Linked DNA regions of Neurospora crassa OR74A. The protein of the gene in region 1 purifies or fractionates together with the protein of each later gene. This does not show direct contact. Links are inferred from orthologs where the notes say so. Each region holds a gene or a part of one and is shown on either strand. Other genes may lie near its edges.

Evidence for each region.
Region 2: the proteins of fes-1 (region 1) and cox-4 purify together in Saccharomyces cerevisiae (affinity purification with western blotting; 8 studies listed by BioGRID, with this or other methods). This does not show direct contact. The link is inferred for Neurospora crassa OR74A from reciprocal best matches to the Saccharomyces cerevisiae genes RIP1 and COX4.

What each region holds. Positions count from the first base shown.
Region 1 is NC_026504.1:1,785,106-1,789,368, forward strand, and holds fes-1 (ubiquinol-cytochrome c reductase iron-sulfur subunit), read left to right. Parts: upstream 1-1,300; 5' UTR 1,301-1,507; coding exon 1,508-1,781; intron 1,782-2,106; coding exon 2,107-2,195; intron 2,196-2,317; coding exon 2,318-2,468; intron 2,469-2,589; coding exon 2,590-2,771; 3' UTR 2,772-3,499; downstream 3,500-4,263. Other genes in the region: dim-8 (DNA damage-binding protein 1), read left to right, coding at 1-440, 509-820. UniProt on the Saccharomyces cerevisiae protein: Component of the ubiquinol-cytochrome c oxidoreductase, a multisubunit transmembrane complex that is part of the mitochondrial electron transport chain which drives oxidative phosphorylation.
Region 2 is NC_026503.1:514,241-518,656, reverse strand, and holds the start of cox-4 (cytochrome c oxidase polypeptide IV), read left to right. Parts: upstream 1-1,599; 5' UTR 1,600-1,803; coding exon 1,804-1,894; intron 1,895-2,148; coding exon 2,149-2,193; intron 2,194-2,606; coding exon 2,607-2,765; intron 2,766-2,826; coding exon 2,827-2,927; intron 2,928-2,990; coding exon 2,991-3,155; 3' UTR 3,156-3,904; coding exon of another isoform or gene 3,905-4,416. Other genes in the region: NCU16615 (hypothetical protein), read right to left, coding at 302-622; NCU05688 (hypothetical protein), read right to left, coding at 3,905-4,416. UniProt on the Saccharomyces cerevisiae protein: Component of the cytochrome c oxidase, the last enzyme in the mitochondrial electron transport chain which drives oxidative phosphorylation.

The DNA.
Region 1 (4,263 bases):
AGGAAACGTCAAGCACTGAGGCCCATCTCGTCAAGCTCGCGTCTTATCGGTGCACAACTTATCCGGTCGACATCGCGGTGCATGGCAACATGATTGCTGTTGCTGATATGATGAAGTCGGCTACACTGGTCGAGTACGTCCCGGCCAAAACCGGAGGGGAGAAGTCCGAAGCCCCCAAGTTGGTAGAGTGCGCGAGACACAGGCATTCTGCGTGGGCAACGGCCGTGGCTCACGTTGAGGGCGAGTCTTGGCTTGAAGCTGATGCCAATGGCAATCTGATCGTGCTTCAACGCAATGCTGAGGGCGTGACAGTGGAGGACCAGCGGCAACTGAGGATAACAAGCGAGCTCAACCTGGGAGAACAGGTGAACAAAATACGCCCGATCAAGGTCGAGACTAGCCCGAACGCCATCATCATTCCTCGAGCGTTCTTGGCCACGGTAAGTTGCCTGTTTCTCAGATTGATCATGTCACAAGGTCAAGGCTAACAATTGACTTGATAAAACAGGCGGAAGGCGGTATTTACATGTTTGGTACGATTGCGCGCGAACAAGACCTCTTACTTCGGTTCCAGGATAAACTGGCGGCGGTGATCAAGACAGTTGGCGAACTCGATTTCAACTCCTACAGGGCATTCCGCAATGCGGAAAGGGGGCCCGAGGCAGATGGAACGACTGGGCCGGTCAGGTTCCTGGATGGGGAGTTGCTGGAGAGGTTTTTGGATGTGGATGAGAAGACGCAGAAGGAGATCTGCGAAGGTCTTGGGCCGAGCGTTGAGCAGATGCGCAATATGGTAGAGGAGCTACGGAGGATGCACTGAGCCAACGGTTAGACACTTAACGTGCATGATTGGATGTCTACAAGTCATCGCTTTGGCTGCTGAAGATTTTGGCAGTTGCAAGTGTTGTCAATAAGTGCTGTGCTCAAAACATGGCTGCATAGGGTGAGAGAAGATGAGTCTGTGAATAGCCTCAGATGAACGAATGAATTATGTATGATCAATAGATCAATTGACATCACTGTCTTGGCACCCTTGGCTCGCCGAGTCGCTGACAGTTCAAGTTGTCCGGGCGCTGCGGTGACGCGCTGAGGTGAGCCCCACCACCACCATCACCACCACCAACAGGACGAACCAGGCGACGGAAGAAACCGGAGAGTGGACGAACAGGCAGTCACAGCCAATCAGGGCCGGCGCATTAAGTAGCTCTCTAGCTGCTGGGCGGACGCTGTGGTTGGTTAGTGCCTCAGGCCACAAGCCAGTAGCTATGGCGGTTTCCCATGCCGGGAAAGGTGGGAACCAAGCTCGGCCCAGAAAAACCTCAGTCCGTGATTTTGGCCTCGTCGTCTCGACCGCATTACGCAGCCGTCAATTCCGTCTCCGGAACACCGCCCACGTCCACCGTCCTCCCGCGACTCCGAAAGAGCAGAACCTCGCTCGATCTCCCCGCTCTCGCAACCCCCTCTCTCCGCTCCGACCTCTGTCCACGCGAGTAATTCTACCGACACAATGGCGCCCGTCTCGATCGTTTCCCGCGCCGCCATGCGCGCCGCTGCCGCCCCCGCCCGGGCCGTTCGCGCTCTCACCACCTCGACTGCCCTCCAGGGTTCCTCGTCCTCCACCTTCGAGAGCCCCTTCAAGGGCGAGAGCAAGGCCGCCAAGGTCCCCGACTTCGGCAAATACATGAGCAAGGCGCCCCCCAGCACCAACATGCTCTTCTCCTACTTCATGGTCGGCACCATGGGCGCCATCACCGCCGCCGGCGCCAAGTCCACCATCCAGGGTGAGTCTTGACTTGATGGGATTTGAGGAGGAAGCTTCACACATTCCTCGAGGTTGGGGAAAACAAAGAGGTGGCATAGGACAGATGGGTTCGGGTCAATGGGATTCGACAAGGGGGTTCTGTTATGGTGGGGCGAGCTATCTACGGTTCCGTCTCATCGATCACCAATTTGCGACCACTATGACAACTTTCGATATCGGGGCGGATATGGTTGGACCTTGGGGCGATGTTGAAGCATGGATACATGGGGAAAATGCCATCTTGCACATGCACCCACGAACACCCAAGAACTAAAGACAGCTGACGAGGCGACCGTGTTATACAGAGTTCCTCAAGAACATGTCGGCTTCCGCTGATGTCTTGGCCATGGCCAAGGTTGAGGTTGACCTCAACGCCATCCCCGAGGGCAAGAACGTAAGGATCCCTACGAAACCGGATTAGCAAAGGCTTGGGCTGAGCTGAGCTGGGCACATCGATTCCCGACGACGATCAAACCATGATGGAATGCTGACCCCGGTCTTTTCCTACTTTTACAGGTCATCATCAAGTGGCGTGGCAAGCCCGTCTTCATCCGTCACCGTACCCCTGCGGAGATCGAAGAGGCCAACAAGGTCAACGTTGCCACCCTCCGTGACCCCGAGACCGACGCCGACCGTGTCAAGAAGCCCGAGTGGCTCGTCATGCTTGGTACGCCCCTCCATGTCCCTCTTTGCGATCCGAACAAGACGAAGGATAGCATTTTTGGATGCTCAGATCCTGGATACACGACGATGTGGGGAGACTGACATTTGGTGTGTGAACAAAACAGGCGTCTGCACCCACTTGGGTTGCGTTCCCATCGGCGAGGCCGGTGACTACGGTGGCTGGTTCTGCCCTTGCCACGGTTCTCACTACGATATCTCTGGCCGTATCAGGAAAGGACCTGCCCCTCTGAACCTCGAGATCCCTCTCTACGAGTTCCCTGAGGAGGGCAAGCTTGTCATTGGTTAAGCGAGCAAAAAGACAAAACTTTCCGATTGAACAAACAAGACACAATTTTTAACCAAACCTACTAGGGAATCCTCTCGATATTCCCTTGTCCACTTTTTTTTTCCCTTGCTGCCCGAGAGACGATGACAGGGAGAATTGTATTAGTACGGGGGTATTGCGACAAAGGGCTTGAGTGGAAGCATGTCATAGACCATAAAACGGGATTTTTGTTTTCCGTGGTTCTTGACGCGGTTTCGTACGACTATCCTATAGACAGAAGACACACATACGCATACACAACAGCAAATCAGGTGTCACGGTCGATCATATGCGCTCGAGAGTCGGAAACTTCTATATACTCAGAACTGCGTTCTTCACCTACGCAACCCTACATACCTATTATTGGTGCTGAGCTTGGCGCTAGGTTGCTGCTGAGTGTTGTACCCTTGCGTTTTCCTATAGACTGGCTTTGTAGAAAATCCTATTGTATGAGAGGCTCACTGGAGCATGGTACCGTGAGAAGGTCTTCCTCGACCCATGGCAGTCGGCTGTGGCTAAGAGCTTTGTGAGGAAACCATAGGTCAGCTGATGAACCTCCCAATGCTAACGCATCTGATCATCCAACACGGCATTGGTAAATACAAATGGCCTTTTATGCGGGTGTGGGACAGACAGGCTACATGTCGAATTGCTGGAGAGCAGCTCGACCAGAATTACAGATGTTGACAACTTAATCTTAGCTTGGCCAACCTTGCGAATCAAGCCCAGTCGGTATACCCGCCCGTGCTACTCTGGTAGCTGAGTTAAGGAAACGCCCGCGAACCGGTAGCTTACCCTGGTTGTTTCATTGACGTCTGAGGAATTCTCCGAACGTAATTATATCTGAAGCCCGCCTTAACATCTTGTGCGCTACTCAAGCCGACACATAGTTAGTGCACTACCTCCAACCATAGCCCCTTGCCAATGCTGGCCGGGTGGGTTGCAGTCTCATTGCAGGGGCTAGGTTGTACCCCCATGCGCTCCCCCTTGCTCTGAGTCTTTTTCCCCCACAAACAAAACAACCTCATCTTTTGAACTTCGCCTTCCCGGGCGCGTCTTGACACAGCTTTCTCACTTCTTCACCAAATTCTCGAAACCCCTCACCCTTGCGGCTCAAAGGGGCTGCTCCTAGGGTCATGTAACAAGCGAAGTTCCATCGTTCGTCTGATCTGACTTGCCGACTACCCGAGGCACCATGGCGGCCACGATTCACCCACCACGACTGGACAAAGTTGTTCTCGAACATAAATTATGGCAGGCGCCACGGTCATTGACGGCGACCGAGATCGAGGCATGCCGATGCCACCGAAAGCGAGAAGTGAGGGGTGGGTGAACGTCGCAGTCAATCAAGCGCTTATGGAGTCTCATCTTATATGAACGGATCACCAAGTCGAATGTTTACTTTACCACTTGGGCTGGGAGGCTTTGACTGTCACTGAGCTGCCTGCCTTTCGACATTGCCCTCTGTTACGAT
Region 2 (4,416 bases), on another chromosome or scaffold:
TCATTTTCCAGTGCATCGTCGGTTCTTCATCATGATGAATGCTTTAACGGGCAAGGTGACCCCGAGACACTGACAATGAGCCAAGTACCGAGAGGCAGTCTTGCCATTGACATAATCCTCAAAACGAAAAGCCGTTTAAAAGCGAGTCCTCGGACAGGGTGAAGACCCCGAGCCATTTGCGCCCCAGCCGCGGAACCAACTCCGCCCGAGGAGATCTACTCAGATTACCCCGGACTGATCAGCCTTGGTTTATTGGGTACCATTCAGAATGTATGCCTAAAGACAAAGCAGGAGCCCGATCCTATGGTCGGGTGGCTAGAACAGAGGTAGGTATGGTTCGTGGAATATTCCAAGACTTAAGCCCCTGTCTCACCATTCCATATCGCATGTTTCTCGACACCCACCTCATCCTCATCCAGTCAGGGGTATGCAAGCCATCCAGCACCATCGCCGGTTTTAGTATCGACCACGTGAGTGACATCCAAGACCCTGAAAACCGCTCAACTGAAGCAAACGACAGTAACTGCATGACGGGCTCCCCGCATACCCCAGTTGCCCAACTTCCAAAATGGGAAACAAAAAACGGGGTGCATCGTCTGTGCCTCAACAGGGCGAGAACCATGGGACAGGACTCTGGGGTTTGGGGATGGTGGTGTTCGGGAGGTGGGAATTTTCCGCCACTAGGAGGTGGTATCATGTAGGTAAGAATCTTACTTAGTGGGTAGGAGGCAGAGAGAGGAGTACGTAGCTGTAGGGCGTGGTCATGTGCTTAACAAGACGTCCTGTGTGTTTCCATGTCTTGAGCCTCCATGTTGAACAAGGTAAAATACGAGTGTTGTGTAAGCTCCCAGGCGTCCCAAACTCCGAACCCGACTCTCATATGCGAAATTTCACTGCCATGCATGCCTCCACCTCTTCCACAACCACCCAGCCCCTACAACTTCAGATACCACTTTCCTTTCTGCTCCTCCTTCTCAAGGAGCGGGTGGAGGTGAGAGGGGAGGGAGTTGACAAAGGACCGGTGGCGGTTACCGGCTGTGGTGAAGAAGCTGTGGATCGTTTGTTGTGTTGTGTTCTCGTTCGTGAGTTAGTTGGATAAGATAACTTGCACACTTCCGGAATGGTGCCGCTCCAACTTGCACAGGGCGCCGATCCGGGGATCCACTATCGGACACGGAAGCCGGATTGGGCCCGGTAGTTTGAAGCTGGAAAGCCCGAGTTCCGTTTGACGGGGTGGAGCATTGTCGATGTTTGATTGGGGCTTGGAGGGTTAGGGTCACGCCAGTCAAACCTGCAATAGCTTCATCAAGACCTTCTTCCTTCTGCTCCCAGTTAGCTCAATCATTATATAATCTATGCCGTACCCAAGTCAATTGAAACCTAGGATTGCTTCACACAGTCTCTTGCCATGTATTCATCACGCAATTGTCGCTTCACTTCATGGTACAGTACTGATGATATGAGCGGTCCCACGTGCTGCATCACCTGACCGTGCGCTAGCTGCTTCTGGCAACCAGCTGGGGAAGCTTTCCAGAATGTGGTCCAAGCGCCTCCATTCGTACCAAACAACCGCCCGTTCGCCAGTTGCCAGCGGCAGAAGGGAAGGGCAGCACGGTCGGGGCCTCTGTCCACTGCAGTGGTGCCCAGCTCAGCTGTGGGACCCACGGCAGTGTGGGCAAACCAGCTTCGGATTCGGACAGACAGCGACAAAACATCATCTCCCGCCTCTCCGCTCTCTCCCGGTCAATTCTGTCACTCCGACATCACACCATCCACCACCACCCACCCGCCGCCGTCGCCAACATGCTCCTGTCCCGCACCGCCGTCGCCGTCGCCCGCCGGGCCACCGCTGCCCCCGCTCTCCGTCGCAGCATCGCCACCACCGTTGTGCGCTGTAAGTGAACATTGGAAACGTCTCTTGGTTTTTAGCGGCTGCGGCCTGAAAAAAAGCACGGCATCCAAAAAAGCTCCAATCGCGAAGCTGCAAATATCCGCGCATAAGCATCATCACCACCACCACCACCAACGACGACGACATCATGACCCCACCACCACCTCGAACCAATTCGCGACAACCAAACGCGCATCAATCACAAACCCCCGAATCCCGATCGCAAAACTGACACCATGTTTTTATCTTGATTCCAGGCAACGCCGAGACCAAGCCTGTCCCCCACATCAAGCGTCTCTCCGGTATGATGATCTCCCCCCGCCGGCGATTGCGTCACCATTGTGTCTATTGGGGTTGCTGGAGAACTGGGCTACGCGAACTGGAAGCTGTGGTGGGTCTTTCGAAGCTCGAGCTGAGCTTAGTCAAGCTTGGGGGAGCTTGATGAAACAACAAGAAGAAGGAGGAGGAAAGCATTGGACGACCACAAAAAGGAGGGGGTTATTATCATTGCGCGGACGAACCGGAGAAGAAGCTCCTCGACCAGCTCAAGCTTGAGGCTCCCCTATCTACCACAGCTTCCACCGGCCGGGTAGCTCAGTTCAGCCCAGCTTCCCTATAGCCTCCACTCGCTCCATGACGATGCGGGGTGACGGACGAAACCGCATACGACGAAAAAACATACATGACTGACATATATACCTTTCGCGACAAACAGAGATCAAGACCAAGGATGACCTCTTCGGCCCCGGTGCCGCCCCCGGCACTGTCCCCACCGATCTCGAGCAGGCCACCGGTCTCGAGCGTCTCGAAATTCTCGGCAAGATGGAGGGCGTCGACGTTTTCGACATGAAGCCCCTTGATGCCTCCCGCAGGGGTAAGACTTGCTGTAATAACCTGGGTTGAGAGGAGCTGGGGGGTTGACAGTTGAAAAATAGGCACCATGGAGAACCCCATCTCCGTCCGCTCCGCCGGTGATGAGCAGTACGCCGGTTGCACTGGCTTCCCTGCCGACTCCCACAACGTCATCTGGCTCACCGTGAGTTTTTTCTCTTCTCTGTTTCTTCTACCGCTCAAATTGAGTATTCTAACCAAAAAATAGATGACCCGCGAGCGCCCCGTCGAGCGCTGCCCCGAGTGCGGCAACGTCTACAAGATGGACTACGTCGGTCCCCAGGACGACCACGCCCACGACCACGGCCACGACCACCACGGCTTCGAGGAGCCCAAGACCTTTGCCGACTACGTCAAGCCCGAGTACTGGTAAATTACCCAGTTGTGGGGTTTGCAAAGGGAGGTTTGAGGTTTTTGTGTAGTGGGTTGTTAATAGAAGAAGACATTGACAAATACGATGCATGCATATGACACAAGTTTACTGGGAGGCAAGCACTGTGAATGCGAACCTGGAGAACACGGGGGTGATGATGAGGCTGGGTAGGTGGTTGTTACCTCATTGGACTTGCATTCGGGAACCTAGAGCTGTAGATTTCTACCTAGAACCCTGGGGCCAAATAAATACTGAACATGGAATTGTATATACCATCGAGAAGCTCGAAAGAGGTTGGATTGGCGTGACAGTATCTAGATTCAGGATTGCTACTAGGGCTGTTTGCTCAGAGTGCATTCGCAGAATCATCTAGACTCGACCTTCTCTGCGGTACCGAGCAACAAGACTCGAGACCATCCAAGATAGCTTCTTCTGCCTGGCACTGAGTCAGAGCACCGCAGGATCGGGAACGACGTTCTGGCACAGCTCCCTATTGCTTTTCTCCGGACAGCTCTTGGGTAGTACTCCAGGCATAACGGCATAGACAAACTCGGACTTTGCATCCCTCGTCATCCGCAAGCTTGTCACCAGGTCGCGCATCTTGCGCCCTTCCACTTGCTATTGGGACATGCGCCGGCCGACGTGGTTGTTAGCCTTGAACACACACCTTCCTCTCGGCATGCCCCCCTTTTTTTTCTCCCGTCGGTGTTTATGTACTTCCAGCGCCCAAGCCCGATAACGACGGCATCTCAACCCTCCTCATCACCATCACCAAAGCTAAGCTTGATTTTCTTAGCCTTCTTCATGGCCGTCTTGGGCTTTGGTTTCTCCCCTGCCTGTTCCGTTTTTCCGCTTTGGTCTTTGGCATCTGTACCCTCAGCCTTTGCCTTTGGCTCCTTAGCATCCCCATCTTGCTCTTGATCAGAGTCATCATCGCCAGCAATGACCTTCCCTACCTTTCTCTTCTTCTTACTCGCTCCTATTCCCACTCCTTTCTCCTCCTTTGCCATCTTGTTATTCCCTTCTTTACTCCCCTCCCCATGTTTGTTTCTGTCCCCCCCTTCCCCTTCTCTCCCTTCTTGTTTTCCCTCCCCATCTTTCCCATCTTTTCCCCCCTCCCCCTCTTTCCCATCTTTTCCCCCCTCCCCCTCTTCCCCCTCTTGTCCCTGTCCCTCCCCCTCTGTGGTCCCCTCACCCTCCACCTTCGAACCAGACTCCATCACCCTCCCATCCTTCCCCACAGACACTCCATCAACCACAT